4 linked regions of the Lepisosteus oculatus genome follow. The main gene of each other region encodes a partner of the protein of the gene in region 2 in a complex. Links are inferred from orthologs where the notes say so. Each region holds a gene or a part of one and is shown on either strand. Other genes may lie near its edges.

Region 1 (7,252 bases), on a different chromosome or scaffold from region 2:
TATAGCCACAAACCGATATTCCCCAAGTGGCCTCCGTACCCAGTACTGACTGGGGCAAGAACTGCTAAATTCCCAGTTTCTGATGAGATCAGCTCACAAAGTGGTCATGATGCTGTAGTACAGTCTTCCGCGATTTTTACTTAGTTCAAAATTAAAAAACAAACATTTAATCAAATAATGATACAGTACAGGTCTTGGACTGCATAAAACAGAATTACTATGTTGATGCGGTAACAGAGACACAGATTATCAAAGATCTGATTTCATTTTGGAAGTGAATCTTTCTTCCTCTCAGTGAGAAGTATTTAAGTCTGTATCATCACCACAGTATTTTGTCACCTTATATCCCTACCAACAGTCTTACTCACACCTGAAGAAAGCTCCACGGCCAAAACGTTGTGTTTTCTTTCTTCTCTTTTCAGCATGGAATACACCTATAACTTGTTCCTTGATCATTTGTTATGGTTCTCTAGAGCATATATAGGCATAGATATGTATAAGTCCCACAGCAACCTACTGCATATAAAGAGGTAGTTCTAATTTTAGTGGTGTGAGATTATCTAAGGCAGAAATTACATGTCAAAGAACTGTGTTTACCAAGTTACTTGTTACACCGAGGCCAGTTATTTCTAATTGATAGTCTGTGTCCACAATCTTGTTAGAATTGACAATTACTTGACAAACAAACAGAAGCCAAATTATCTCAAACTGCATTTGATCTGCAAGACATTTGATTTTTCCAAGCCTGCAGTGGTCAGAAAGATGTACGTCCCCTGCCCTCCCAGGCTGAAGCCAAAGATAAGCCGTTGTCAGTCCTTTCCCTGCTGAAACAAAACCCGCTGTGAGCTCCCTCCAGCTCACCAAGGAGGAAAACCTGATGTGCTGTGCCCAGTTTGCAAATGTTTTACAATTCAGCTGAGCCTTGCCCACGTCTACAGCCTGCTACTGAGTGCTGTCAAACAGCTTTACAGAAACATGGTGGACTGGTGAGTGAAATGTATACTTCAGGTGGCATTCAAATTCACATGGAAACAACTTGGAGAGTGTCAGGTTACTGCAAGCAGCACCTGAGCTTTTCAGGGATCCTTTATCAACTGTTAGTGAAAGACCACAATCACTTTCAGCTTAATTGGGCACCCATCAGTGAAATGTTTAAGAGATACTGTCTAGTTTATAGCAGCATTGTCCTGCATTTGAAAGTTGATTTTCATCCAAGCAAATAAGTGACCTTACACGATATTATACCCAAGAGCATAAAAACGGTTAAGCAAAGTTTAAGCATCTACATGCACACACATACAAGGGACACCCCTCAGGTCCTGGTGTTTTTAGGAGCAAGCAGTAGCTCTGAATATGACTTATCTCTGGCACTTTCACAATTCCCAACATCCATACACTCATACGTATTGCACATAGCTCTAACGTTTTGCAATCTACTCTGAGCTAAGTGTATCAGAAACTGTTCTCTATATTTTTGCAATTGTTCTGTAATTTGTTTCCCCATCGCCATTCACAAGATCCTAACGGAGTACAATAGAATTTGATCTCCACAGAGAAACACCCTCAGCTGCCTAGATCAGCGCTTTCGCACAGTACACGGCTTTAATTGGCCTGACCACAAGGGCGCTCAGAGGATTTTCTGACACTACTGCTAACATGTCAGTGTCAATATGCAGTCTTTCTACAAAAGCTTGCTGGATGTTTCATATTCCTCTTACCTAATACTTTCTCCGTCAGACTTATCATCATGAAAGCACACTCTGTTCCGCTAGTGCCATTCCCCTATCCTGAAAACAGTTTACACTCCGTACTGCAGAAAACGGTGGAGGCGATTTTTCAAAAAGACCCTTCTTCGACACTGAGGTGGACTTGACGTTTCTACCCATTACAGCTGGGGACTTTACAGGACAAGTACGGTTCTCAGGGGAACAACACTGGGACCCCTGCTGAGATCTGAGCCCGAAACTTTGAAGCCCTACCCTTACAGCTATATCACAGTGCAGCCTAGACATAGGCGAGGGGAAAGGACAGCTTCTGCAGTCGTGTGGTGTGGTGACAACACCGATAAATTAATTAGATACGTCTAACTGAAAACAGACCGCGGATAACTAGACTAAACAAAGTATTTGCCTTCAAAAAACCCTACAGAGCACAGGCCTATCTGTAAGAAGCTGTTTTAGGGGCTCTCTAGTATTATTTGTGGAACCTGAGATATTACGTACAGCAAAGGAAAATACACACAATCTTTGACCTACAGTATGTCCGGGAACACGAAAAACGGCCGTTTATCTGATAGAGGACTGATTTCTTCATATGTGAGAACATCAGTGCTCCGCATTAGTGAAGCAATCTCTGCAAACACAAGATGCTGAATTTAGCCATCGGCTGGCTTTATGCAACAGAAGGTTCCTTGTTGAATGCACATATCCAATTCTCTGCTAAACGAGCCATAAACGCGCACGATCGTTCACGGACCTGGAAGTATTGCATTTTTTTTTTTTATCTGCAATCAGCGATAATCGCAGGCAGGCTTTAAAATGGGCTGTCTCGCACGGTTGAGAAAGCAGTTTGTCACCCGGGCTGGGCGAATCGCGCTGCTGTGGATGCGAGGTCCGATCTGAGTCCCACACCCCCTTTCCAAACAGTGTTGCTGTATTTCTGTCGGCTGACACTGACTCAAGCCCTCACTCCCCACCCACCACAGGCAAACGAGAAAACACAACCAGCAGGAAAGGCGCCCCGTCGCGTTTTCCAGAACATACTCCGGGCTTTTGCAGTGGTCAAAAGCGCCTCCGCCAGCGGCAGGGAAACATTTTCCCCCAACGTGCGGCTCCCAGTGCCTTACCGCCTCTCAGTCTGTCTCACCGCATCTCACCTGGCAGCCTTTCTTGTGATGAAAGCCAACAACCACTATGTGCAGCACGGGGCCCCTGGGCTCCTCTCTCCCATGTGGCTCCATGGCTGCCCACCCCACCCCCGCGGATATGCCGGCCGCGAACGGACGCTGTAGGGAAGCCGCAGACGGACTCTCGCCGGGATCTGAACCTGCGGGGCTCCTGCTCGCCGGTGTTGATGGCCGCCTCTCTCCGCCACCAGCGGCTTCGCTTCCGCCTTGCGGGTGACGTCAGGGGAGCCGCTCCGCCCCGCAGCGCCCCCGCACGGCCGCAGGCGGAACTGGCGCGTCCAGCCTCGCCGCACACCTGGCCGCTGCCGTAGCGGTGTACACGTACTGCGCCACACGCGAACACTCTCCCCGTTTCACATGGTCAGAAGTACCTGGTCGTTTTAATTCGCTCATACCGTGGGCGCACACGCATCGCCTGACATTATAGATAACAAACGTACAGTGATTAAGCACACCACGATTCGTCATTTGGCAGAGGCCTGAGCAGTCTTCGCTAGGTATTAAAACAACGGAAAAAATACTGGAAACAGTCATGAGAAGGAACAAGTAATAGGTTTATTCCATGCTGAAAAAAAGAAGAAAGAGAACACAGCGTTTCGGCCTGGAGCCTTCTTCAGGTGTGGCCGAAACGCTGTGTTCTCTTTCTTCTTTTTTTCAGCATGGAATAAACCTATTACTTGTTCCTTTGCAGCCTACGCATGCTGACGCAGCTACCCACCTGAACTACAGTCATGAGAATACTTATTAATACTGTCAACTTAATCAAACGCCGCGGTCCAATGTTTTGAATTCGTCTAAAAGATTGGATGTTTACACGCCAGTTGGAAAAAGGCTTTGAGGTACACTATTCGGTGAAGTTAATTATTTTGAAGCTCCTCTATAGTTAAATTCCCAGCCTCCCTCACTCTCACTCTCACTCTCACCTCTCACCTGTGATCTGAACCTCACAGTGCCTTCTTCCTTTCTTTCTTACCAAAAATCCAAACACACATTGAAAATCTACCTCTACCATACATGTCAAAAGCTCACTCCCCATCATTTCTATCCCTTTTATTCTGTTGATGCATATTTTTGCACATAACCTGTTACCCTTTTGTTATTTTGCACATTGCCTGTTGTTGTTTTTTGCACATTGCCTGTTGTTGTTTTTTTCTATTTGTACTATTTATTTCCGAGAGCTAGCTAAATAGCATTTCGTTATACCATATACCATGTATATGAGTGTAATGACAACAAACTTGAAAACTTGAGCTGGTTCTCGTGCGAGCAGAAGAACATCACACCGCTCTGTTTTCTAATATACATTAGGTGACGGTCGGGTGTCGATTGTTTCTGTCTGATTTGCACGTTGAAGTTTTCTTCGATTGGTCGAGTCTACCTTCCTTCAAACATGGCGGCGGCTCCGGCTACAAACCCTTCACAATTGCTCCCGCTTGGTATGTGAATTAAACGTGAAGCAAAACATTTTAACGCGAAGTTGTTGAAGTACTAAGACCTGCCTAAGTAGTACCGTCGGTGGTGTACATTTTACAATCTAAAAAATATACCACAAGCGTCTATAGCCTAAGACTGCCAACTGGCCGGTTTTAATAAGGACGTGCAGGTGGTCCGTGAATTAACCCAATCGTTCGTTTTTGTTCTTTTTGAATTATGAATTGAAGTATTGAGTTGCAGTTATGTATCTGTCCCTCATTGCACTGTAATGCTAAGTTTGTCTATACGCAACTTTCCTGTAAATTACTAATTTTTGTTTACGACTTGGCCCATTTCTAAACAGTCCAAACACGGTACTGTCTCAATCTTTGCTGTAGTGTTTAGCCGAATATTTCCCAAAAAGTAAGAAAGAACAAAAAAAAAGTAGAAGCGTTCGTTGACGGTTTATGTTCGCTAATGTGAAATTATACCTAGCTATGTCCATCTAGTCATGTTATTAATTAACCAGATAAGGCAGTAGGGAACAAACGATCATTTCCATGGTGCAATGGATCTGTTTATAAAGCAGGGCATTTACTGTAATAAATGTGTAATATGCCAATGTGTAATATGTGTACACGGCATCAGCGTCTCTAACACTCCAAGTTTCCGCACGAAGTTGTGGATTATTATTTTCTTGTAGATGAAACAATTCCACATCATATTGTATGGTTATTCTTTGCCGTCTCACGCTGTGTGTTACAGCAATAACTTCCTCGATTGTGTCGACTTACATCATTAAAACATTGTATTTATCGTGAGCAGAGGAAAATCCATTTTTTTATATAATTTTCCTATTTTAGAAGAAAAAATGTCATTTATTTTGCTAATGAGGTCGATGATATCCAATGAACTTGTTTTCGGAGCAGTTTATTCTTTGATCATGTTACTTGTTTCGAATATGTTTAACCCCCGTATCCTTGAAGTCTGTTCATGAGCACTGCTGCTGTCTAAAAATGTCCGCTTAATTTATATTTGTGTCTGTGAAGTAATCAGTTCTAGTGATTTCTCCTGTGTCATTCTGATGTTTTTATATAACAAGGGTAACTTACCATTACAGTATCCTAGAAGTGTCAGCAGATGTGGCTAAGTTCTATGAAACAGCTGAAATCTTATCACAGTATTCCTTGTTCTCTCCTCTCCCCTCCCGTTATCTTCTTTAGAGCTTGTGGACAAATGTATTGGTTCCCGGATTCATATTGTGATGAAGAACGACAAGGAGATTGTCGGCACTCTGTTGGGATTTGATGACTTTGTCAGTATCCTTTTTACAGTAATATGGATGTTGTATATCATCACATGTGAAGTTAAGACTAACAGTTTTGATCAATAGTAATAAGTAATGGAGCTAGTTGGTTGTTCAATATGTTGTCTTTTTTCAGCATTGATTTCAAGATTGCACATCCAAGAAAAACCTTTTTACCAGATACAGACACATTTTGTAATTCAAAATGGGTCATAAACTGGTGAATAATAGAATCTTTGCTTTTCTTTGGAATGGCAGATTGTATCATGACAAAAATATACAGTCTGGTGGAGTATTCGCGTATTGTGTTGCCTGAGATAAAATTCCATTAAAGTGAAGCAAGGTCACATCATAAAAATTCAACTTCTTGCAGTAAGATTGTACTTGGCATATGTTTTACGAAAGCTTATGCACAATGCAGTGTCTATAACAGAATTGTTTTACGTTAAAATATAATAAGATGTAAAATACTAAATCTATTGCTGAAAACTAAAAACATAACAATTTATGGTTTTAACTTTGTAAAACATGCTTTCCTTTACTTGCATTCTCAGACATGGTGCTTGAAGATGTCACTGAATTGTAAGGTTTTGTTTTGTTCATGCTAAAATAAGAAATGCTATGATGTTCAGATTGTTACAGGCAAAAATCTTTAATTTTCTCATTGAAAATGAGCACTGAATTAATGCATATTCAAATTGCAATTTGTTTTCTTACATAAGAAAGTCTGTTACTTTATTTACATCTTGACTCGTGCATTTGAAGAGTTAAATTCTGATCATAATGTAATTTTTTTACAGAACTGGAGTACACTATTTTAATAACTTCTAGCTTTATTGCCTTTAGACATTAGCAAAATAAAATATAAAAAAATCATAATCTTAATAAAAATGTCAAAAATCAACAACAATGTTGTATTATTAATTTCAATTAATAATTCATAGTGTCATCTTAACACAATTCACAAATACCTTTCATTACTAAAATCGCTTGTGTTCTCATTTCAGAGAATTTGATTTTTGTGAATTGCTTATGGGTACAAAGTTGTTTATTTGTGTTAGTTTTCTTTTCATTTTAAGGCTGTACTATTAGTGATTATCGATTAGTAGCATCGTTTATTTCAGGAAGCCTTGTTTTTTAGTGAGATCACACCAGAGGGAAGGAGGATAACCAAACTGGATCAGATCTTATTGAATGGAAACAACATCACCATGGTAAGTGTGTTAATAAAGGAAAACCTAATGGTGATACTTTTCTTGTGATTTATACAGTTTAGGCAATGATTCCTTTAAAATTGAACTCAATTGACAGGCCACAACACTGTCAAGCTGGATATACCTACTTACTTGCACTTATTTGTCTTTTTGTATTGGATGTTGTTAACTTAAAAACATTAAAACATTAAAGATTTGAATGTAATCTTTTTTTAAGGAAGAAAGTATGTGGTGTTGTTCCATGTTTTATAACAGCAATTTACTTTGTTAAACATCCATTTTAGTTATGTTTTTAGAAGGATAAAGCAGATGGATTTTGGACATTGATTAAATAGTTTTGGCATGATATTAATTAATTGGACAGACTGATACATTTAAGTGACTTGTAAATGTTGCATGAGGACTAAGCTATTA
Region 2 (7,551 bases):
CGATGTGTCGCAGTGTCCAGTCTGTGGGGGTCGATGTGTCGCAGTGTCCAGTCTGTGGGGGTCGATGTGCCGCAGTGTCCAGTCTGTGGGGTCAATGTGCCGCAGTGTCCACTCTGTGGGGGTCGATGTGTCGCAGTGTCCAGTCTGTGGGGGTCGATGTGCCGCAGTGTCCAGTCTGTGGGGGTCGATGTGTCGCAGTGTCCAGTCTGTGGGGTCAATGTGCCGCAGTGTCCACTCTGTGGGGGTCGATGTGTCGCAGTGTCCAGTCTGTGGGGGTCGATGTGTCGCAGTGTCCAGTCTGTGGGGGTCGATGTGTCGCAGTGTCCAGTCTGTGGGGGTCGATGTGCCGCAGTGTCCAGTCTGTGGGGGTCGATGTGCCGCAGTGTCCGGCCGGCACTGATGTAGGGTCCTGTCCTCTGTACTGTCTTGAGTCACACGCTCTCCACCAGGTTTGTCAGGAGAGGCTGCAGTTCACCCTGAGCGAGAACGTCAGCAGAAACGTCCTGTGGGGGGCGCCGGTGAGCGAGGCAGTACAGCTCCGGCCCTGGGGGCAGCCCGACGACAGAGAGAGGGACACGAAGGAACGGTGAGGACCACAGGGCTCCGGGAGTCCAGCGACACACAGTGCATAGCTACACACAGCCGGTCAAAGTCCTGGTTCTCACGGATGGCTAGTGTCCGATTGTGAGATCCCGATGCTGGTGCTGATGCTCTAGAACCGAACCACCTCTGTCAGGGAGAGCTGCGGCTGTCCTCCCTCTGATGCCTGCTCTCAGATGTAGATGCGAAACTAGTATCTCCAAATTTGGGAGGAGTGAAAGGAGAAGTTAAATTATTTGATTTACTTAGATTTAAATAACCCAGCAGGAGATAATCGCTGATCACTCAGGTTTCTGTCCTACATTGGTCTTAATTTTTGGATCCTGTCGCTTATCAAGCTGAGTGGTTAAATTGTCTAATCATTCTTCTTAGAGCTGTTTTTACACCCTGGTGAGAGACGTTTCACCTGGGCAGTCATCCTCTGCCATGTGAGGAGGAATAGCCTTCTGAGAAGTGATAGAATTGTATTATAAATTCTCTATTTTCATGTTGTGTTAAAGTTTAGTTACTTATTGATCACCCATGAGTGTGACCATTTTCGTTCTTTTTGCTCATCTCATCTTCCTTTGTCTGCAGCAGATGTGATGTTACGTTTGAAAGTCCCAAGGACAGCAACTTTGAGTCTCACCCAGCACAGCTTCCTGGGAAGGTGGAGAATATCGACGCTGCTGTCAGTGATCCAGCTGTCATGATTGGACGAGACGCAGGGGTTACACCTCCTCTACCTGTTACCAACCAATCAATGAAAGGTAAGACTCCCAGTGCAGGACAAAATACAATTTCTTAGCTCACATTCTGTGTATATATAAATGGTATCTGTTTTAAACTTTCTCCATGCTAAATGTGTCTATAGGGTCTGTATTGATCCCTCTGTGTGTGAGGAGTGTATCTGGGGTTTGTATTAGGGTCTGTATTAATCTCTGTGTGTGAGAAGTGTCTCTGGGGTCTGTATGAGGGTCTGTATTAATCTCTCTGTGTGAGGAGTGTCTCTAGAGTTTGTATTAGGGTCTGTATTAATCTGTGTGTGAGGAGTGTCTCTGGGGTCTGTATTAATCTCTCTGTGTGAGGAGTGTTTCTGGGGTCTGTATTAATCTCTTATCTAGGTGTGACTCTCATTGTTTCTCTTCTTCCAGCGAAGCTCGCCCGTCTCTCCCTCTCCCTGCCCCCTCTTGCTCTCTCTCTCCCTGTCTCACCCAACCCCTGCAGAGGATTCTGGGAAGGGGCTGAAGAAGGGGTCAGGGTAGGTCGCCGAGGGAGAGGAAGTGACCCAGATGAGGAGGAGGAGGAGGAAGAGGACGAGGAGGGGGCGGGGCGGGTGATCGTTGTCACGGAGACAGATGTGGAGAGGCGGCTGGGCCTGCGCAGTCTGCTGAAGTCTCCTCGTGAGCCGATGGAGAGAGAGAGGGAGGGCGAGAGAGACAGATCACGCAATGTGTCCTTCTTTGATGATGTCACCATTTATCTCTTTGATCAGGTCCGTTTGTCTGTGTGTCCATCAGTACTGTCAGTCTGTGTCCATCAGTACTGTCACTGTGTGACTGTCAGTCTGTGTCCGTCAGTACTGTCAGTCTGTCCATCAGTACTGTCAGTGTGTGACTGTCTGTGTGTGTCCATCAGTACTGTCAGTGTGTGTGCCACTGTATGTTTTCTCTGCTTGTGTATCCCATTGTGTGTGGAAACACTGGGCGAGTCTGATGGAGTCTCACACTCTGTTCTCCTCCCTCCCTGCAGGAAACGCCTACAAATGAGCTCAGCTCTGGCTCTGCCCCCACCAGCCCCACCCCTTCCTGTGATGTCACAGGAGACCCCGCCTCCAGGACACAGGAACTGGGTTGGTCCTGTTACGTTAGTAACCTGCCCTGAACACCTTGTGTCTCATTAATAACTAGATGAGTATATGATCCTGGCCTGGACTATAGATACTGTACTCTCTACGTGTGGTAATTTATTGTATATCAGTGAACTGGTTATTATATGGTATCCGTGTGTCAATTAAGGACTACAGTTTCAATGTAGATGAATAGTCCTATTACAGCAGGAGCTGCAGTAATTGTGTATTGCAACAGCAGGGAAACAGGTAGATTATTTTGCTCCATGCTGAGAGGAAAGGGGGACTCTTCAGGCACAGGATTCCTCAGGGAGGAGAAGTTGTTTGCTTTGCAGAATCCACTGCTGTTATTCCCCTCCTGTCCACTAGGTGTCGGAGGCGCCAGAGAGGACCCTGTGATCGGCGTCGGGGGGGCGGAGTCCAGGCTGCCGGCGCTGCCGTCCCGGTTCACTGTTAGCCCCGCCCATGACCCCCATTTAGTCTGAGCGTCCGAGTGCCCGCCCCCCCCCCCACCCCCCCCGCCGGCCACGCCCGCTCGTGCCCCGGTCCCTCTCCTCCCGACCTCTGACCTCTGACCTCCGGGAGGGCGGTGTTACCTCTGAGGCCCCGGGTTCGAGCCCCTGGGGCAGGAGCTGTGGAGGAGCGTGGGGGTCGGTGTCGGAAGAGGTCGATGATCAAAAGCAGTTTTATTTATTTGTCGGAGGGTCACGTCTGTCGGCACCGGACCGCTTTAGTGCTGCAGGCCGAAGAGTTAGGGTTCTGTCGGGCCCATGTCTGTGCCTGTACTGGTACTAGAACTGGGTTCTACTGGACCTGCACAGCTGGACTAATAACTCAATATGAAGAACAGGTCTGGGAGAGGAGATCACGGCATATTTCTAATATTTACTTTCTTGGTCTTAATAAACCATTTTTTACAATCGTTGTTGCTGAGATGTCTACTGACGCTGTCTGTGTTTGTGTCTTGTTTCTCCTCTGTTTGTTGATTAATGTCAATTAACTTGCGTTGTTTAACGAGCTGGTTTCAAAATATATTGTACAAATTAAAAGATCGGAACTGTGACACATTTAATGAAGTTTGATTAAAATAAATTGTACTGTCTTCTATTAAAACATCTCTAGACTCTCATTTATGTTCTTAGACTCAGTGTCCTGTACAATAGGAGCTACAGTCCCAGTGCAGTAGAACAGTCTGTTACAATAAGAGCTTCAGTCCCAGTACAGTAGAACAGTCCTGTTACAATAGGAGCTACAGTCCCAGTACAGTAGAGCAGTCCTGTTACAGTAGGAGCTACAGTCCCAGTGCAGTAGAACAGTCCTGTTACAATAGGAGCTACAGTCCCAGTGCAGTAGAACAGTCTGTTACAATAAGAGCTTCAGTCCCAGTGCAATAGAACAGTCTTGTTACAACAGGAGCTACAGTCCCAGTGCAGAAGAACAATCTTGTTACAATAGGAGCTACAGTCCCAGTGAAGTAGAACAGTCTTGTTACAACAGGAGCTACAGTCCCAGTGCAGTACAACAGTCCTGTTACAATAGGAGCTACAGTCCCAGTACAGTAGAGCAGTCCTGTTACAGTAGGAGCTACAGTCCCAGTGCAGTAGAACAGTCCTGTTACAATAGGAGCTACAGTCCCAGTACAGTAGAACAGTCTGTTACAATAGGAGCTACAGTCCCAGTGCAGTAGAACAGTCCTGTTACAATAGGAGCTACAGTCCCAGTGCAGTAGAACAGTCTTGTTCCAACAGGAGCTACAGTCCCAGTGCAGTACAACAGTCCTGTTACAATAGGAGCTACAGTCCCAGTACAGTAGAACAGTCTGTTACAATAGGAGCTACAGTCCCAGTGCAGTAGAACAGTCCTGTTACAATAGGAGCTACAGTCCCAGTGCAGTAGAACAGTCCTGTTACAATAGGAGCTATAGTCCCAGTACAGTAGAACAGTCTGTTACAATAGGAGCTACAGTCCCAGTGCAGTAGAACAGTCCTGTTACAATAGGAGCTGCAGTCCCAGTGCAGTAGACGTCACTAATCTCACGCTGCGTAACCTGGAGAAATCACATGGGCACAACGCGTTCTTTTAGGCCTCCACGCGAGAGCGACTGTGACGTCATCAACCGGCGACGGGAGGTGACGCAGTTTGTGCGGTCGGTGTGCTGGAAGCTGTGAAGCTCGAACTGTTTTCGCTTAGATCTCCGGACCTGGTTTGTTTATCTGACCACCCGAGAAGCAGAAAGAAGGGGAAGAGGTAAGAGATCGCTTCCTTTCGCTGGGGCGGAGAGTGTTTCAGTCCCCGGAGCGCTGCTGTAGAGGACTCTGCGGTTTCAGCCGAGTCTCTTAAGATTGATGAGATGAGGGGTTTGTTGGGGCTCTGCTCTCTCTCAGATGTCTTTGGCGGACGAGCTGCTGGCGGACCTGGAGGAGGCTGGAGACGAGGGCGACGAGCCGGGTCTGTACCCGGGGGCAGAGGGGGCCGACGGAGCGGACAGCGATGGGGAGGGTGGGGCGGAAGGCCCGGGGGGGCTGGCTGACATCCCGGAGGAGATGGAGGTGGATTACAGCGGCACAGAGAGCGTCACCTCCATCGCCAAGCTGAGACACAGCAAGTCGGTGAGTCCCGCCTGTATCCGCCTGACTGCAGACTGCTCGGTGTGAGAGACAGTTAGTTCAGGGCTCGGTTTGTGTGTGAGAGAAAGACAGTTCAGGGCTCAGTGTCTCTCAGGCTGTGATTGACGAGGTGTGACTTGTGCTGTGAAATACCTCTGTTCTTTGTCTTTCTAGTTTGCAGAGATAATGGAGAAGATCAGTCAGTACATTGGTAACCAGCGCAAGACCTCAGAAGGTAAGAGCGAGTGGGTGGCGCCGGCGTGATGCTGTGCTGGCAAGTCTGTTCTGACCCGACTCTCCCTCCCTCTCTCACACAGTCTCTGGGCCGGTGGAGGCCGACCCGGAATACAGGCTGATCGTGGACGCCAACAACCTGACCGTGGAGATCGACAACGAGCTCAGTGAGTGTCCGGCCTGCAGCCTTCCTCCCACGACTCTCAGCACAAAGGGGTGCCCACTGTTCGCAGTCCTGTGCGCTCTGTGGGTCCTTTCTTCCACACTGACCATCTCCCCCTCTGTCCTGCTGTTCCTCTTTCTCCCAGATATCATCCACAAGTTCGTGCGAGACAAGTACTCCAAGAGGTTTCCAGAACTGGAGTCTCTTGTGCCAAACTCTCTGGACTACATCCGCACTGTCAGGGTAGGAACCTCAGTCCTGACTGACTGTGACTGGAGTCCCTGGTGCTGTTGATCTGGGCCTGGCTAACGTCTCAGATTCCTGAGCTTAAACTGCGTGACCAGCTCACTATCTGTTCCTCAGGCTGGGACAGGAGTTCACACGCTGTATTATTATTATTATTATTATTATTATTATTATTATTATTATTATTATTGAGAGACAGGCTCACTGTCTGTTCCTCAGGCTGGGACAGGAGGTCACACACTGTATTATTATTATTGAGAGACAGGCTCACTGTCTGTTCCTCAGGCTGGGACAGGAGGTCACACACTGTATTATTATTATTGAGAGACAGGCTCACTGTCTGTTCCTCAGGCTGGGACAGGAGGTCACACACTGTATTATTATTGAGAGACAGGCTCACTGTCTTTTCCTCAGCAAGGGACAGGAGGTCACACACTGTATTATTATTGAGAGACAGGCTCACTGTCTATTCCTCGGGCTGGGACAAGAGGTCACACACTGTATTATTATTATTGAGAGACAGGCTTACTGTCTGTTCCTTGGGCTGGGACAGGAGGTCACACACTGTATTATTATTATTATTATTATTATTATTGAGAGACAGGCTCACTGTCTGTTCCTCAGGCTGGGACAGGAGGTCACACACTGTATTATTATTATTGAGAGACAGGCTCACTGTCTGTTCCTCAGGCTGGGACAGGAGGTCACACACTGTATTATTATTATTGAGAGACAGGCTCACTGTCTTTTCCTCAGCAAGGGACAGGAGGTCACACACTGTATTATTATTGAGAGACAGGCTCACTGTCTATTCCTCGGGCTGGGACAAGAGGTCACACACTGTATTATTATTATTGAGAGACAGGCTTACTGTCTGTTCCTTGGGCTGGGACAGGAGGTCACACACTGTATTATTATTGAGAGACAGGCTCACTGTCTGTTCCTCGGGCTTAGAAAAGGAGGTCACACACTGTATTATTATTATTGAGGGACAGGCTCACTGTCTGTTCCTCGGGCTGGGACAGGAGGTCACACACTGTATTATTATTGAGAGACAGGCTCACTGTCTGTTCCTCGGGCTGAGACAGGAGGTCACACACTGTATTATTATTATTGAGAGACAGGCTCACTGTCTGTTCCTCGGGCTGGGACAGGAGGTCACACACTGTATTATTATTATTGAGAGACAGGCTCACTGTCTGTTCCTCGGGCTTGGAAAGAAGGTCACACACTGTATTATTATTATTGAGAGACAGGCTCATTGTCTGTTCCTCAGGCTGGGACAGGAGCTCACACACTGTATTATTATTGAGACAGGCTCATTGTCTGTTCCTCAGGCTGGGACAGGAGCTCACACACTGTATTATTATTGAGACAGGCTCACTGTCTGTTCCTCAGGCTGGGACAGGAGCTCACACACTGGGCTGCCAGTTCAACTGAGTTCTCTCCTGCCCCTCCCAGTAGGATTGGGAGTTTTTGTGTTTCTGGCAGGTGTGGGAATTCTGGGATTAGATTTGTAAAGTTGGGAAAGAATTTCTGTTCATGGAGGTTGTTTTTACAGACCTATGTGTGTAGGGCTTTTATGAGTGTAATCACCGAGTGTGATCCTGGTCTGTGCGTGTACCTGTCTTGGTCTCAGGAGCTGGGGAACAATCTGGACAAGTGTAAAAACAACGAGACGCTGCAGCAGATCCTGACCAACGCAACTATCATGGTGGTCAGTGTGACGGCCTCCACAACGCAGGGGTGAGACTGAGCAGCATGGTTGCACGCTGACCGCTGGCTGAGTGACTGACTGACTCACAGATGATCCTGTTGAAGTGCTGTATCCCCGTGTGGAGTCATACGGACTCCTGTGCGTCTTGGTTTTGCGC
Region 3 (7,604 bases), on a different chromosome or scaffold from region 2:
ATTTTCACCCGCCACTCAGAATTCCCACTTAAATCTTGGGACACATGGCACCCTGGATATAAATTCCTCCAGGTCATATGCCATTTCAACTTTGAATTTTTCTGCCCATTTTGTACTCATTTGTATTGGGATTCTTGGGGGAGGGAAGCCTACAGCTCTTTATATTTGGTAAGGTTAGATGTCACATATACTCACCTCTTCATCAGACTCAAACTGTACATTGACACCATACGTTTCATCAATATTGTCATCTACAACACAAAAATGGTAACATGAAAGATTATCAGGAGAGAATGCACATACAATATTGTTCTGCGACACATCTTTCCTATCCAATTCCTATAAATGATAAATCCATTTAATTTTGTATTAATCCTAATCTAGTAAGCTTCAATACTGTAGGACTGGCACACACCTACAAATCATCAATCACTATTAAACAAAACAGGTGTTTTCACCCATTAAGATCAAGAACCAAATATAACAATGCAGGCTTAAATAAAATCCACAAGGCCGCAGCTCTCCAGGTTCTAGGCTAGCTGCCCCTGTGATAAAGTAACAGGTGGACTCTGTACCCATATTCTGGAGCTCCTTGTCTCCTCCGTAGTCGCTGATCTTCTTGCCCAGGTTGACCAGCACATGGTAACGCGTGTCGTCAGTGGGACCCAGCAGCTGCTCAATCTCCTTGCGTCGTTCCTTGTCTCTCATCTTCTCGTTCTTCAGCACAGCCAGCACCTCGTCGGCTGCCCCACACAAGATGTCTCTGGGCTTCAAGGACATTCAAAATGCCTGATCAGTCACAGGGAAGAAGCCTCCCTCATCTTGACATTTTGCTTTGAAAATGCTATTAACCCCCATCTCTTAATGTTCTAGTAAACACTCTTAAAAGCTATGTTACAACCCAATGTAACTTGTTAATATTCTGAGATGGTGCCAATCATGACAAAAATCACGATAAAGCAGTAATATATAAGTCATTAGGCAATAGGATGATAACATTTTGTGATGAAGCACATACACCACAACACACCTTGCAAACATACCACACTGTGTTGCAGAAAAAAACTTCCTAAAGCTTCCAGTAATGTGTCAAAACACCACAAGAGACTACTGAAACACGCCCCTCACCTGGTCTCCCAGGGCAGCCTGGATGAAGCTGAGAAGAACCTCATAGGTCTCCCTGGTCTCCTTGGTTTTGGGCTTGTAGACGATGCCCACCATCTCATCGATGCCCTCTGACAGCAGGGTGAAACCCTTCATCTTGTTGATGTCATGCCGGTCCTCATCTCTCTTCCTCCTCCTGCACGAAGAACAAGTGGGCACAGGGTCGTCAATCTCCCCTGAACCGCTCAGCCAGAGCCTCAGCAAACAGGATCCCACACTCTTCCATTAAAGTGGGCTTAAACACTGCAGGTGCCTCAAAGGTAACTCTGCACACGATCAGTCCCATTCTGTAAAACTACACACAAGGACTATGTAGTTCCAGTCCTTGAGGATTACAAGGCTAGCCAAACCTGTCTAGAGAGCCAGCATCACAAAAAGCATCCACTGATCTATTCCCATTTTACCACATGCACATACACGATTAAAAAAAACACACCAGCATTCAAAAGGTGTATATTTACACGTAGTAATGTACCCAATACTGAATTTTCTACATATCTTTATTGTATTTCCTTTACCAGGACATTTTATTTTCAAGTGTTTTTTCCAGGTCTACACGTTTCCAGGAAAAGCCTGCACCGGGAAATCTGGCTATATTATGCGGATGGCCATGTTCACAAACATTTGGCCACTATGCCATGTTTACACACCACATGCTCATAAAACAAAAAAACTCTTCAGGTGGCAAACACTAGTCCCAGGACAGCAAGGAAAGACTCTGAACTCGATCTATTAAACCCATATGGTCTTACTTGGCTCTTCTCTCCTCCAGCATCTGTGGCTTTGTCCTCTGGGACTTGTCCCCCATCTTGGTACCATCCAGCTTTCCCACAAGGGACAGAACCTCACCTGTGGGCTCATCGCGGCGAGTCCGGTCGATCAGAGACCGATCTGCTTGCAGTACAAGATTAGAGTTCTGTTCGGGAGAAAAAGAAAACATTCAGGCCACAGCTCTGTATGCATCATAATTTTAGACCAATACAAAGTACTCTGAACAGATGCTGCGTAAATATCAGTGATCAGATGAGGCCCTACTGGCTCCTTCACTAACTCTATACCTCCTCTCATTTCTTGCTTCCGACTCACCTATTGGGATCTAAACCAACAGCAATGTCAAAACTTGGAGACCCAAGGAATCTGTAGATATTCATTCTAGGTCAGCTCTTAATCCTAATCATAATTATTGGCTTAATTGGCCATTTAAACCTCCCCGGATCTTTGATTGCTGCAACTTCAAAGAAACCTGCTTAATACCAGAGCTTCTGAGGCTCTGGTACAAAATAAGAGGGGCTTATGTCAAAGCCAAAGTATGCAATGGAATAGCGCAAACTAAGCAACAACTCACCTTTGCTGCATACAAAGGTACACAGACCTCTTGTAAACAGAAAAATCAGCCCTACATTGGGAACTGAACAGTCCCATCTCACCCCACACTCGCGGCGTAGGGTTGCAAACGTTTCACTTTTTCCAGCTTGCAATGCAAAACTTACAGAACGCCACAAGCTCGAATACAACAAAAAGTTATAGTTACATTTGCACTGGCGCGCTGTTTGTGCTACTTACGGCTTTGTACTCGTACTGCAGGCTCCGAGCAGTTACATCCGCCATGGCTGATCCGGCGCTTCACACGCCGACCTCCCCGCTCAAGCCTACCTCGGCAGAAGAAAGATAAGATATCTGTTACGTCTGTAAACGATTTCGTTTTGTATCCAGGGATCTCCCTTACTTTTACGGCTACAGGATAACTGTTTAGAGTATTTAGGAATTAATTCTCAGCCCCCCTCTACTCTGATCACTTCCCTCGCGTTGGCTGTGCGTTTCAAAAACACACACGCCACCGGGCCCACTGCGCAGATCACTTCCGCTTCCGGGGCACGGTAAAAGTAACTTGTCATGTGGGGAGGCGGGAGGTCAGGAGTCCAAATACGAGGTGCTGGACTGTGCTACTGAAAAAAACAAATAGCGAGAATGTTGCAGTATAACATGAGATGCATATGTCTAGTATTGATTATGAATCGAAAACAGTAATTGCACTATTAAATTGAGGTGTGATTATGTTACTTACACGGTTTGGATCAGTACTTCTTTATTTTTGAAGTATAAATAAGATTTTAACAATCTGAAGATGTTTTAATTTGCTTGCAAATTATCCCTTTATCACCGGTTGTGAACGTAACATGATTTAAATGACATTTTTTATGAGAGTTGGAAAAGCCATACTGTGTCATGGGTAATTATTATGCTACTTTGGTCATTATTAATATTAATAATTATTATTAATCATGGTACTTTTTTGACTAATAATGTAACCTTTGTCCCAGGTTTCGAGGACTTTGAGCCAGGAAAGGTGCCCATGAGCTAAAGAAATATGAATATGTAACTTGAAAACTAGCTTTTTTCAGATTCTCGAGTGTTCCTTAATTACTGCAGGGCACCAAGACAGACTCATAGTATTTTAAAAATCCCTGTTGGAGCAATTGTTTGTTGTTACTCATAATTTTAATTTTGCTTGGCTTCTGTAGATTGATTATGTAACACCCTAATACAGTTAAGTCAATAATAAGATTTTAATTATAATATACAATAATCTTTCCTGCTACCGGGGTGATTTATCTGAAGATGTATCATTTGAGCAGACTGAAACAATGCATTTGTAAACAAGAGAGAATTTTTTTTTGTAAAATGCAAAAAAGAAAATGTTTAAATGTTTCTGAGTACAACTATTACAATGTCCTTGTAACTCCAAGATCATGAAGAATTGGTATACTGTTCTGTGTTTGTTGAGATCATTTGATGTAACTCCTTTTTGCACCACACAGTAATTTTCTGATCCCTCCTGTGATCTAAATAGCACCCTCATTGTTTTCATCCTCACCTGAAGCTCTTGCATCTCCATCAAGCGAGCGCCTGATTGCCTCTCTGTGCAATTGTTCCCTTAGTAGGTCTTAGCTAACAGAGATTTGCATACCTCATTCACAGAGTTCAGCCTTCATCCCCCTCATCTCCAATTTAAATTGAAATGCAAACTCATCTTATACAGAGAGAACCTGAACAAATACCGAAAGAGATATGAAGATGAATAGACAACTATTCTGTGAACAAAGAGCTAATAGTCAGGTGTGGTCACATTATTTTATTTTTTAAGAGGTTAATTCACAAGACCTTGATAGCATTCAAGCCTTTGATACGTATTGCAACTATGAAAAGGCCATGACAAACGGACTTTTTCCAATGCATCCATTTTCTAACAGCTTCTTCCAATCCAGGGTCGCAGGGGCGCCGCAGCCTCTCCAACAAGCAACAGGCGCAAGGCAGGGTACATCCTGCACAGGATGCCAGTCCATTGCAGGGCACACAGAGTCACACACTCCCACCAGGGCCAATTTTCCCAGAAGACAACCTACCACTCTTATTTTGGTTTGAGGGAGGAAACTGAAGCACCCAGAGAAAATCAATGCAAACACACAAACTCCACACAGATAGCACGCACCACTGTGCCACAGCTCTCGTCACAAAAGCATATTTTGTTACTTACAAACAACCACTATAAAATAACTATTTACATATGAAAGTCTTAACTTAAAAGTACTGTATACAAGGAGGAAAGAGATGATGGGTATTTCTTCCCTATATCTACACTATTGACATTTAAAGCACAGATATTGCAATCAATTTTAACAAGAGCAGTATGGGCCCACATCTACACCAGCAGGCCAGACTAACTACAATGGAGCTCACATTTGTCATAAGATTAGGGAAAAGAACCGTACAATTTAGGGGAGAAATGGAAAGGCAAAGCTTTTTAATACTTCTCCTGTCTGTTGTTTGTGACCGGAGACGATCGGCCAATAAAATTAAGAAAGCTTGGTTACAACCGTGATGTGCACATAAGCACAATAATTGAAACCATGTGATGAGTAGGACCTCTTACTTCTGCTATGTTTACAAAGGAATAAACTTAGGTCAGGTTCACACCTACAGTAGAAAAAAATAACAGCCCTTCCACATATCAACAAAATATGTTATAATATGCCTTTTACATTATAACAGAGCAAAGTGACAAAACAGTTTGGAGGCTGACACCAACTGTTTAAATCTGGAGTGGGTTCAAAGGAGTATCTAATACTGCAAAGGAACAAGTAAGGGTTAATTCCATGCTGAAAAGAAATGCCCGTACTAGTAATGTCATTTTAAAACACATAGGATTTGCTCTATGATTCTGTGGGATTATCTGTGGCTATTTTGGCTTCAAAGCTCATTTGCATTGCTAAATATTTCTCCAGGAATGATTAACACTATATTGGTAAGGCTTTCCAGTCTTTCTCTGTCTTTGTGGGTTGTTTCTAAGACATTAACTCTGACTTTTAAAATTCATTATAATGCAGCTCATACAGAAGTATTTAACCTGCATTCATATATGCATCTTAAATAATTCTCCATCCTCAAGCTATTGCATTCAGTAATTTTTCTTGTCCTTTGTCCAGTATGTTCTTATTTAGAAGAAAACAATTGTGAGATTAAAGCTATGTGGAGCCCTGAACCATATTGTATGCACTTTAAAAATATCTTATAACACAGTAATAACATTCTGTTCCTACAATGCATACACAGTAGGTTTCTGTGTCACAGGGTACTAAAGCAATGCATATAATAGGACATGTATACATCTTATAGAAATTCAGCATAGAATTTCACTTTTAGTTTGCTCTAAAAGTGCTGGAAAAACCTTACAGGACCAGGGACACTGTTAAGGAAATTTGGCATAGCTTAGTTAATCTTTTTATTCAGCCTAGAAGGAAACATAATACTGTAGAAGAGGAGCTGATTTTTTAAAACAGTTTATTTATTTTTTTCAATGTCGAAGAAGTTATTAAAATACACACAAAGACTGGGATTTGCACACAACTCATATACAAGAAAAGAGAAAAGAATCCAGTTAGGTTTTACAGCTTTTTGAGAACAGTTTTTTGCAGGAAAAATGTAGCTGAGAACTGACAGGTTATTTCGAGTGCATGCTTTTAATTAGCACAGGCAATCACATTTGCTGTGTGTGCTCCTTTTAAACAAATTCTTGACATAAAGTCAAACATAGCTTTGTCCCTCCTTGTCACCTTGTGTTATTCAGTAGTGCCCTTGTCAGTAGGCATATTGTAAGGGTGCTGATGCTCTTTGAAAGTGCCAGAAGGACAACCTTTAATACTGAAGTCATTACTTTTCAAAAGAGCAATGGAGTAAAAAAAACATCTCGTTTCCAACACTGCAACAGAAATACTCTGCTTTGCACTGACCACCTGCCTGTGTGTGAGGAGGAAGCGCTATAGACCCAAACTCTTGTCCAACTCACATCCGTGAGACCCACTGTGTCTTTGTCCTAATGAATCTTCCAGTTGCTGGGTTAACCATTTTCCAACTTTTAAAATGTGACAGATTTCAAGTGGCCTGTCAAATCACACACGTACGTTAAAAGCTCCGATATTTCGCATCATATTTTCTAATTGAAATCTTTTTTAAAATGTCTTAAAAATAACTTTAAATGAATCATTATCTGATTTAATGGCACCAGGATTGCTTTAAGGAAAAGCCAAGGGCAAAACAACAGAAGACCAGTGGCCTGGGTGTACTCTACCAGCCTATTGCAAATGCCAAACCACTTTGGACTTGTGTGTCGCCACACTCCCTACAGGCTCCAATGTAAAATTAACAACTACAGTTCCTTAAATAAGTTCCTTAAATATTCAAAGTGCTTTTCAAACAGGAGGAAACACTTTACCTCCACCACCGAAATACAGAAGCCAGCCACTTGCTTGACCTTCGGCAGCCACTATCCAACAGCTGTCTAACTACACAGCAGGTCGGGTGAAGATGTAAGAAATTTAAATTAGGTTTTTTTGGTGTTTTAGAATATGTTATCCCAGAGTGGAATTTATCCAGGACCTGCCTGGGATCTTCTAATGGTCAAGGAGGTAGGGATGTAGGAAGTATCATCTCATACATCTTATCAAATATCACTGATGTAGGTCATAACCGTAGAATGAACAAGACAGAATTATATATGTATGTTAATTTCTCAGTTTCATTAAGAATACATGAAAAAAATACACATTTATTCTAGGTTTAACTTAAAATGCCTAGGCATGATGAAACAAAGTAGTTGTAGTTGTGTGCCTAGGCATAATTTGTATTTTTATTGCCTGACTGGCAACCCAGAGAAAGGACATCTCACACCTCCAGAGGTTGTGTGCACCCCAAGTTATGAGCCACCGGTCTATACCATTCAAATAGCTTTTACACTGTAACATATCACTTAGTTGCAATACTATTTCGATATTCTTCACCATGCAAACATCTGACATAGTCTTGGCTTGCGAGAAATGGGGTCTTCGAAACAAACTACAGCGACCACATAGGTCTGCCTTTCCCACTTGTATTGCAACTGGAGC
Region 4 (7,270 bases), on a different chromosome or scaffold from region 2:
CTCGGGCAGTTCATCCATGGCTGTCCTCTGGTCTGAGATCTATTCTGCTAAACTAATTTGCGGTGTGTGCCTCGACTTCATCTCCTCAGGAAAATTCCTAGGTGAAGTGAAAATAATCCTATTATTCCAAACTATACCTATACATAAAGATACTGGACAAAAAAAAACAGAAACTCTGAATTGTCACTTGACAGGGTGTTGGGCCACCACCTGCAGCCTGTACAGCCTGTATGTGCTAGGACATGGAGTCTACCAGCATTTTGAATTCTGCAGGAGGGATGTGGCGCCATTCTTCAAGGAGAAAGACAGCCAACTCACTCCGGATTGGCAGAGGTGGAAAATGATAACTCAGGCATAGTGCTAGATTATCTCATAACTGCTCACTTGGGGTCCGGTGAGTGAAAAGACCAGAACATGTGGATAACATCAGTGTCTTGCTCAGACCTATGGCCCACCACTCATGCTCTGTGGGTGGAAAGAAGAGCTGCAACACAGGCTGAAGATAAGCACTCAGTACCATTAAGCAGCGATTACCATTGATCTTGCCTTCTAAGGAAATGAGCACACTCAAACCATTCTTGGAAAATGACAAAACCACCAGGACCCAACACAGAACCAAATAATACCCATCTATGAATTGGCCTCATTACTCTCTGCTCTCCTCCCCACTGATAGCTGGTGTGTGGTGAGCGTTCTGGCGCACTATGGCTGCCATCGCATCATCCAGGTGGATGCTGCACATTGGTGGTGGTGGAGGGGAGACCAGAAAAGCGCTATATAAGTGTAAGCAATTATTATTATTATTATCTATCATATCCCATTTCTTCACTGCTCGGCAGTCTAACGCCTGGGCTCGCCAGAGTGCACTGCAACATGGCAGTTGAAATGGGCTGAGATGTGCAGTCAATCGATCTGCAGTTGGACATTACAACCCCGGAATACGCACTTTTCCCACTTTAGACACCGATGCTCTCGAAACATCAGCCCGGCGAGCTGTCAAACGCGCCCAAATATCCACCCCTTTTCCAAAGTCACTGTGGTCCAGTATTTTTAACACTCGCAATCCCAAGCTTACCCAGAGTATTTACATTTTTGTCCACTACCTCAACAATCACACAGGAGCATTTTAGACATCCCAGTTAACCTAGCCAGCATGTCTTATTACAAACTGTTGTAATATAAACCTGCTTCCGAAACGTAGGGACGAGAGTGAAAAGAGTAGCATAACCAAAACTAACTGATCATGCAGCAATAGTGCACAGTACTATTAAACCAAAGGCACATTGCGTCAAACAAACACCATTACATACCAGAACGTCTGCACTTAGCGAAAACAACATTGCAATTTACTGTATTAAATCTTTTGATATAAGACAGAACATACTTCCTGAAGAAAACAAAACTAAGTCACTAACCCACATTCGCATGCCTCAGGAGCTACAAAGAGCGGCAGAGTGCAGTCAGCGCCTGCGTATAACAGGCAGGCTCTACAACCAATACACGGCTCCTTCGCTTTCTGTTCCGGGGTGAGAGTCCGCCTATCGGATTTAAGGGGGCGGGTTATGGCAGTGCGGGCGAACAAGGAAAGGCCCAATTACATAGACGTAAAATAAAAATACTGTAAATATTATCCAATCAGAATCGTCAGTAGCCTGATGTTCTTTTTGCAGACTCTCGCCCTATTGTGTTCGCGGGTGGTAGCTTCGAATACAGGTGATAGGGTGAGAACACGTCGGTTGAGTTTACAAGTTTATTTGATAATAGGGTTTTGATTCGGACTTGAGTAAAAAAATGATGGAGCAGAAGAGATCAAGAAATTAGATGGTGTCCGCGGCTCAGTCCCAGCATCTTAAACAGATACGATTATTGAATTCAAAATACTTCATTCATCCCCAGGGGGTCAATTTAAACAGCAAGCGGTGTAACATGCATCGCGAGTGCAGAAGTAGTTATAAAATCTAGCCAGCAGCCATATCACCCTGCAACTCACAACTGGCAACCCACTGAAACTAAGTGGGTGTGAGCCTGGTCAGTACCTGGATGGGAGACCTCCTGGGAAAAACTAAGGTTGCTGCTGGAAGAGGTGTTAGTGGGCCCAGCAGGGGGTGCTCACCCTGCAGTCCATGTGGGTCTTAATGCCCCGGTATAGTGAGGGGGACACTATACTATAAACAAGCGCCGTCCTTCGGATGAGATGTAAAACCGAGGTCCTGACTCTCTGTGGTCATTAAAAATCCCAGGGTGTTTCTCGAAAAGAGTAGGGGTGTAACCCCGGTGTCCTGGCCAAATTTCCCATTGGCCTTTACCAATCATGGCCTCCTAATAACCCCCCTCTATGAATTGGCTACATTACTCTGCTCTCTTCCCCACTGATAGCTGGTGTGTGGTGAGCGTTCTGGTGCACTATGGTACAGGTGGTGGTGGAGGGGAGTCCCCATTACCTGTAAAGCGCTTTGAGTGGAGTGTCCAGAAAAGCGCAATATAAGTGTATAAGTGTAAGCAATTAATTACACTGACAGAGACTGAAGACCAAGGTTGAAACGGACACTTCCACACAAAGCACTAGGTTGTTTGAAGATTCTATTTTAAATAGTATATATTACAGAAATTACAGACAAATTGGTGGTTTATGCCACAATATACTTTGTTTTTGTCAAGTGTTTTATGTCATGATGCTTGCATTTGTACCCCAAAACACTTGGAAATCTGTGTAGTTTCTAAATAATTGGCACTGATAACCGCTCCTTTTTACTGTCTGGTTTCTATTGCAGTACTTAAAAACAGAACATTTTTTTTCCAGCCACTTTTCTTAATTCAGATTATTTTTCTAAAACTTAATTGCAATGTAAAATACAAATAGTATCATCTACCACGGAGGTGGCAGTTTACTCCAGGGGTTGACCTCTTCGTGGTGCGGTGGCTCTGTAGCTAAGGATTAGCGCCTGTAGCTGGTGGAAGGTTGCCAGTTTATACTGTATCCCGCAGCTGGCAGAAAAATCCTATTCCGTTCGGATCCTGAACAAGGCCCTTAAGCCCTAACTGCTCCAGGGGCGCTCTGACCCCAAGCTTCCCTTCCTGTCTATATCTCCTGGAGAGCAAGCTGGGGTATGCAAAAAGAGAAATCCTAATAAAAGAAATTGTATATGGCCAGTAAAGTGAACATGCACAGGGGTCAATTACTTGTCAAATACTCCCAGGCAGTTAACCGAGATAATTTGACTGTTTGATTAGGCCGTTGACACACTGTAATGAGCACCCCAGCTAAATACCTACATCATAAACCACCAACAAACATTTCCATGCCTATGCTACAAAGAACCTTGCAGCACAAATTCCAACATCCTATAAGCTGACGTAGTAATAATAATAATAATAATAATAATAATAATAATAATAATAATAATAATAAACTTTATTTTATATAGCGCATTTAAAGGTGACTTCTCAAAGTGCTTTACAGAATGACAACAACAGTAAATAAAAAGAATACACAAGATAAAACACAATTTCAATATACAGAGGAGACCATGGATGGTGGTACTAAGAAAAGCAGAGGGGTGAAGAATGGAACCAGTTCAGTAAAGGCTTTTCTAAAGAAGAAGGTTTTGAGTCTGGATTTGAAGGAGCTTAGAGAAGGTGACTCTCTGACATCCTTGGGCAGAGAGTTCCAGAACTTGGGGACATAACAGGAGAAGGCCCTGTCATGTAGACGGGCTTGGGGGACAGTAAGGAGACCAGAATTAGACGAGGGAAGGTTGTGAGGTGGGGAGTAGGGCGATAATAGTTCAGACAGGTACTGAGGTGCCAAGCCATGCAGAGCCTTGTAGGTGAGCATGAGGATTTTAAAGTTCACACGGAATTTGACAGGAAGCCAGTGCAAGGACTCCAGAATAGGAGTAATGTGATCATTTGCACTAGACCTGGTCAGGATTCTGGCTGCTGAATTTTGGACATACTGCAGTTTGTTCAAAGTAGATTTAGATACCCCAGCGAGCAGATCATTATAGTAGTCAATTCGAGAGAACACAAATGTGATCAGCTGTCCGTGCAGCTACGTACACTGTCCATTCAGCTTTTCAGTATAACAGACAGGCATTTCAACCAATACACAGCTACTCTACTTTCGGTTCCGGGGTGAGAGTCCGTCTATCGGACTCTAATGTTAGGCGGCGGGGCGGGTGAAAAATAAGGCGACCAATTACATAAGACGTAAAATAACAACCTCTAAATGTTATCCAATCAGAATCGTCAGTCACCGGAAGTTCTTTCTGCGGATGCTCGCCGCGTTTGTGTTGTTGGGTGCTCTTGGATGTGGTTCGGAGTTTAGCTATTTAGTTGAAAAGGCAACGGTTGTATCGACATATTCATTCGAAAGTAACGTTTTGATTTGAAATTGAGTAAAAAGAAATGATAGAACAGAAGAAGAGGAAGGGAGTAGGGCCAACGGAGATGGCTCTGGTTCCGACGAACAAGAGACCAAGAAATGAGCTGGTGGCCGCGGCTCAGTCCCAGCAGCTCATGCAGATGGTAGGAACTAAAAATACGTTGGCTGAATAATGCGTATAGTTCATTTTATTTTACCGAGCTCTTTGTGTTCTGCGAATTATAGCCTAAACGACACCAACTTGTTATTTACATTCGAGATATGGATGTTTTGACACACTGTACTGTTTTAAATTGAGTTCCGCCTCTTCTTTATTTTTTAATAACACCTGTTATTTGTATTTGAAATCGTGGTTAATATTTGGTAACATCAGTTCATGTTCGTTGAACATTTCAACGGCCTCAGTGCTTGATTTTGCAGTAGTGTTCGTGCAGGTTTTGACCTAAAATTCACCTAAGTTTCATACTAACAAATCATATTTCTGTTTAACAAATCAGATTTATCACAGCAAACAAATTGCTTTATAATCCTAATGCTTAGTCTGAAACTACACTGCATATATAGTATGTGTAAAGTACAATAGACAATTTAAATGTATTAGTTTGTGATCTGATCATTACATCCTGTTTGTGAAACGTTAATTTCTTCTTTGCTTTATATCATTTTTAAAACCGGGCAAAGATTGCAACGCCGAGTCTTCAAAGAAGAAGATGCGAAGGTTGTGACAAAGATGTAGTTTATCGAGGACTCCGGTCCATACACAGGAAGCCTAGTCTTAATTCTAGCTGGGAAAGTTTGTTTTGCCCTGTTTGAAGTTTAAAGATATTTTTTGTTAATGAGAATTCTAAAACATATCTGTAAAAGTACATTCTTAGAATACATTTTGGAATTGGGGAAGGTGTTCAGATGTATATGAAATCGTTTGCTGAACACAGGATTGTGGATGCAAAAGCCTCTCGTCTTAAAGACAGTCCTGCTCAACTGGAGCTGATTAGATTTTATTGTGCTCTTTGCATGAACTTCTGCCCTGAATATTATGGCTAATCTGACTCTGTACCCTCTTGTCTGTGTAATCACAGGGCCCCCCACGAAGTTCCAGTTTGCAGGCTCCTATCATGCTTCTCAGTGGCCATGAGGGAGAGGTCTACTGCTGCAAGTTTCACCCCAATGGGGCCACGCTGGCATCCGCAGGCTACGACAGGCTGATCTGTGAGTACTTGTGATCAGTTTCTTTTCCTGAGGTAATAAAAACACATGTATTAGTTCAGGTGGGTAGCTGCGTCAGCATGCGTAGGCTGCAAAGGAACAAGTAATAGGTTTATTCCGTGCCAGGGAAAAAAGAAGAAAGAAAACAACGTTTCGGCCGTGGCGTTTCGGCTCTTCAGGTGTGAGCAAATCGCATGCATGTTTGGTGTGTTGCGATTGGAGTAGAAGCAAAAGGACACTTAGACTGTGTGGCCAGCCTCTGTTCACCAGACCCCTAAAACAATTCTTTACAAAGTATGAGAGAGTACGACTTCACTCTTGTGTTTCCTAGGAAAGACTCGATTGAATACGATTTGTTCAAGGAATTTGAAAATCTCCTTATTTTTTTTTGATGAAGCAGTTGCATGTCCTTAGGGGTTCAGTACCCAAGATCATTTAAAAACAGTGTGTACAGAACATTCTCGGGCTTAATCTATTTTTCTGCTATTTTTGCTTTCAGTGCTATGGAGTGTTTATGGGGATTGTGACAATTACGCCACTCTGAAAGGCCACAGTGGAGCCGTCATGGAGTTGCATTATAACACAGATGGCAGGTAATGTATATATACCTAAATTGTTTGATTTCTACAAAGGTTCTCCTTAGTTAAATAAGAAGATTGTGTTCATATTAATGGGTTTTTTATTCATAAACGTTATGCAGCAATGTAGTTTAATTCCTCTACTTTTCAACAGTACGTTCTAGGTCCTTTTGTGTTGCTTACTGTATGCTTAGTTGAGAGCTTATTATTACTTTGAATCTGAGCAATCTAGCCTGGCAACATCTCACACATTGGACACCAAAGCTGTGTACTTCAAACAGTAGTTGATCAGCTGACTGCTGTGTGTGATTCTGGATTTAAACTTTATTTAGAAGATTTTAAGGGGCAATAGTACACGGAATCAGATTATTCACATTAATCTGTTACCTGTATCATTATTGTACTTTCAGCATTCCTTTGGTTCTGTTAACATTTCTAGACTGGACACCTCACAGAAATGCTTTAAAAAGACAGTATTATAGTGCAAAATAGAGCTGAAATGTGCCCGAGCTTCATAATCCTGTATAGCTGGGAGAGTGGAATAGCAGGGGGTGATATGCCATAATGATTCCCAGAATGACAGCTGCACAAACACAGCCATAACAGTGCTCTAGACACAACAGCCAGAGCTCACCATACACGGCATGCAGTATAGGTTTGATACAAACCCATATAGAAACACAGAGTTTAAAAGCCCAGCCCTTCTTCGAGCTTTAGCTAAACGTCTGTTTTCTCCTGTAAATCTGGCAGCTAAGGTGCTTACAAGCTACAAAGCAAATCTCTCTCTCCCAAAGTCTTTCCCAAAAATAATCTCTGTTCCAAAAATTATTCTTGTCTTTAAAAACTTTTGTCACTCCAGTGGCCGGTCCTTCAGTCACTTCCTTCTCCTTCTGATGTGGGTTGTGTAGGATTCCCTGCTCTCCTTCTACACAGCAGAGGCAGGTGGCCAACCCGGAAGCATCAGATTCCTAGTTTTAAATGTCACCAACCAATTGTCTTGCTCTGATTGGTCAAGTGATTGAAGATGGCAGTTCATTCCCCACATAACCCTCACTCCACAGCATTCTGGGGAATGTGGTTCAGACAAGAATCTCCACCCTGT

Evidence for each region.
Region 1: prpf31 (region 2) and lsm5 share a complex: the UniProt entries of both Homo sapiens proteins name them as parts of the U4/U6-U5 tri-snRNP complex. The link is inferred for Lepisosteus oculatus from reciprocal best matches to the Homo sapiens genes PRPF31 and LSM5.
Region 3: prpf31 (region 2) and snrnp200 share a complex: the UniProt entries of both Homo sapiens proteins name them as parts of the U4/U6-U5 tri-snRNP complex. The link is inferred for Lepisosteus oculatus from reciprocal best matches to the Homo sapiens genes PRPF31 and SNRNP200.
Region 4: prpf31 (region 2) and snrnp40 share a complex: the UniProt entries of both Homo sapiens proteins name them as parts of the U4/U6-U5 tri-snRNP complex. The link is inferred for Lepisosteus oculatus from reciprocal best matches to the Homo sapiens genes PRPF31 and SNRNP40.

What each region holds. Positions count from the first base shown.
Region 1 is NC_090701.1:6,000,847-6,008,098, reverse strand, and holds the start of lsm5 (U6 snRNA-associated Sm-like protein LSm5), read left to right. Parts: upstream 1-4,236; 5' UTR 4,237-4,295; coding exon 4,296-4,341; intron 4,342-5,430; coding exon of another isoform or gene 5,431-5,433; exon of another isoform or gene 5,434-5,513; intron 5,514-5,541; coding exon 5,542-5,637; intron 5,638-6,178; coding exon 6,179-6,206; intron 6,207-6,765; coding exon 6,766-6,838; intron 6,839-7,252. Other genes in the region: late secretory pathway protein AVL9 homolog, read right to left, coding at 2,876-2,959. UniProt on the Homo sapiens protein: Plays a role in pre-mRNA splicing as component of the U4/U6-U5 tri-snRNP complex that is involved in spliceosome assembly, and as component of the precatalytic spliceosome (spliceosome B complex).
Region 2 is NC_090718.1:264,628-272,178, reverse strand, and holds the start of prpf31 (U4/U6 small nuclear ribonucleoprotein Prp31), read left to right. Parts: upstream 1-4,533; 5' UTR 4,534-4,675; intron 4,676-4,812; coding exon 4,813-5,037; intron 5,038-5,208; coding exon 5,209-5,269; intron 5,270-5,351; coding exon 5,352-5,435; intron 5,436-5,576; coding exon 5,577-5,674; intron 5,675-7,316; coding exon 7,317-7,423; intron 7,424-7,551. Other genes in the region: serine/threonine-protein kinase LMTK3, read left to right, coding at 450-586, 1,177-1,349, 1,734-2,074, 2,332-2,431, 2,798-2,913. UniProt on the Homo sapiens protein: Involved in pre-mRNA splicing as component of the spliceosome. Required for the assembly of the U4/U5/U6 tri-snRNP complex, one of the building blocks of the spliceosome.
Region 3 is NC_090697.1:70,222,790-70,230,393, forward strand, and holds the start of snrnp200 (U5 small nuclear ribonucleoprotein 200 kDa helicase), read right to left. Parts: upstream 3,006-7,604; 5' UTR 2,773-3,005; coding exon 2,728-2,772; intron 2,081-2,727; coding exon 1,917-2,080; intron 1,301-1,916; coding exon 1,129-1,300; intron 769-1,128; coding exon 576-768; intron 252-575; coding exon 196-251; intron 1-195. UniProt on the Homo sapiens protein: Catalyzes the ATP-dependent unwinding of U4/U6 RNA duplices, an essential step in the assembly of a catalytically active spliceosome. Plays a role in pre-mRNA splicing as a core component of precatalytic, catalytic and postcatalytic spliceosomal complexes.
Region 4 is NC_090706.1:10,109,683-10,116,952, reverse strand, and holds the start of snrnp40 (U5 small nuclear ribonucleoprotein 40 kDa protein), read left to right. Parts: upstream 1-4,255; 5' UTR 4,256-4,407; coding exon 4,408-4,527; intron 4,528-5,463; coding exon 5,464-5,593; intron 5,594-6,089; coding exon 6,090-6,183; intron 6,184-7,270. Other genes in the region: zcchc17 (zinc finger CCHC domain-containing protein 17), read right to left, coding at 1-18. UniProt on the Homo sapiens protein: Required for pre-mRNA splicing as component of the activated spliceosome. Component of the U5 small nuclear ribonucleoprotein (snRNP) complex and the U4/U6-U5 tri-snRNP complex, building blocks of the spliceosome.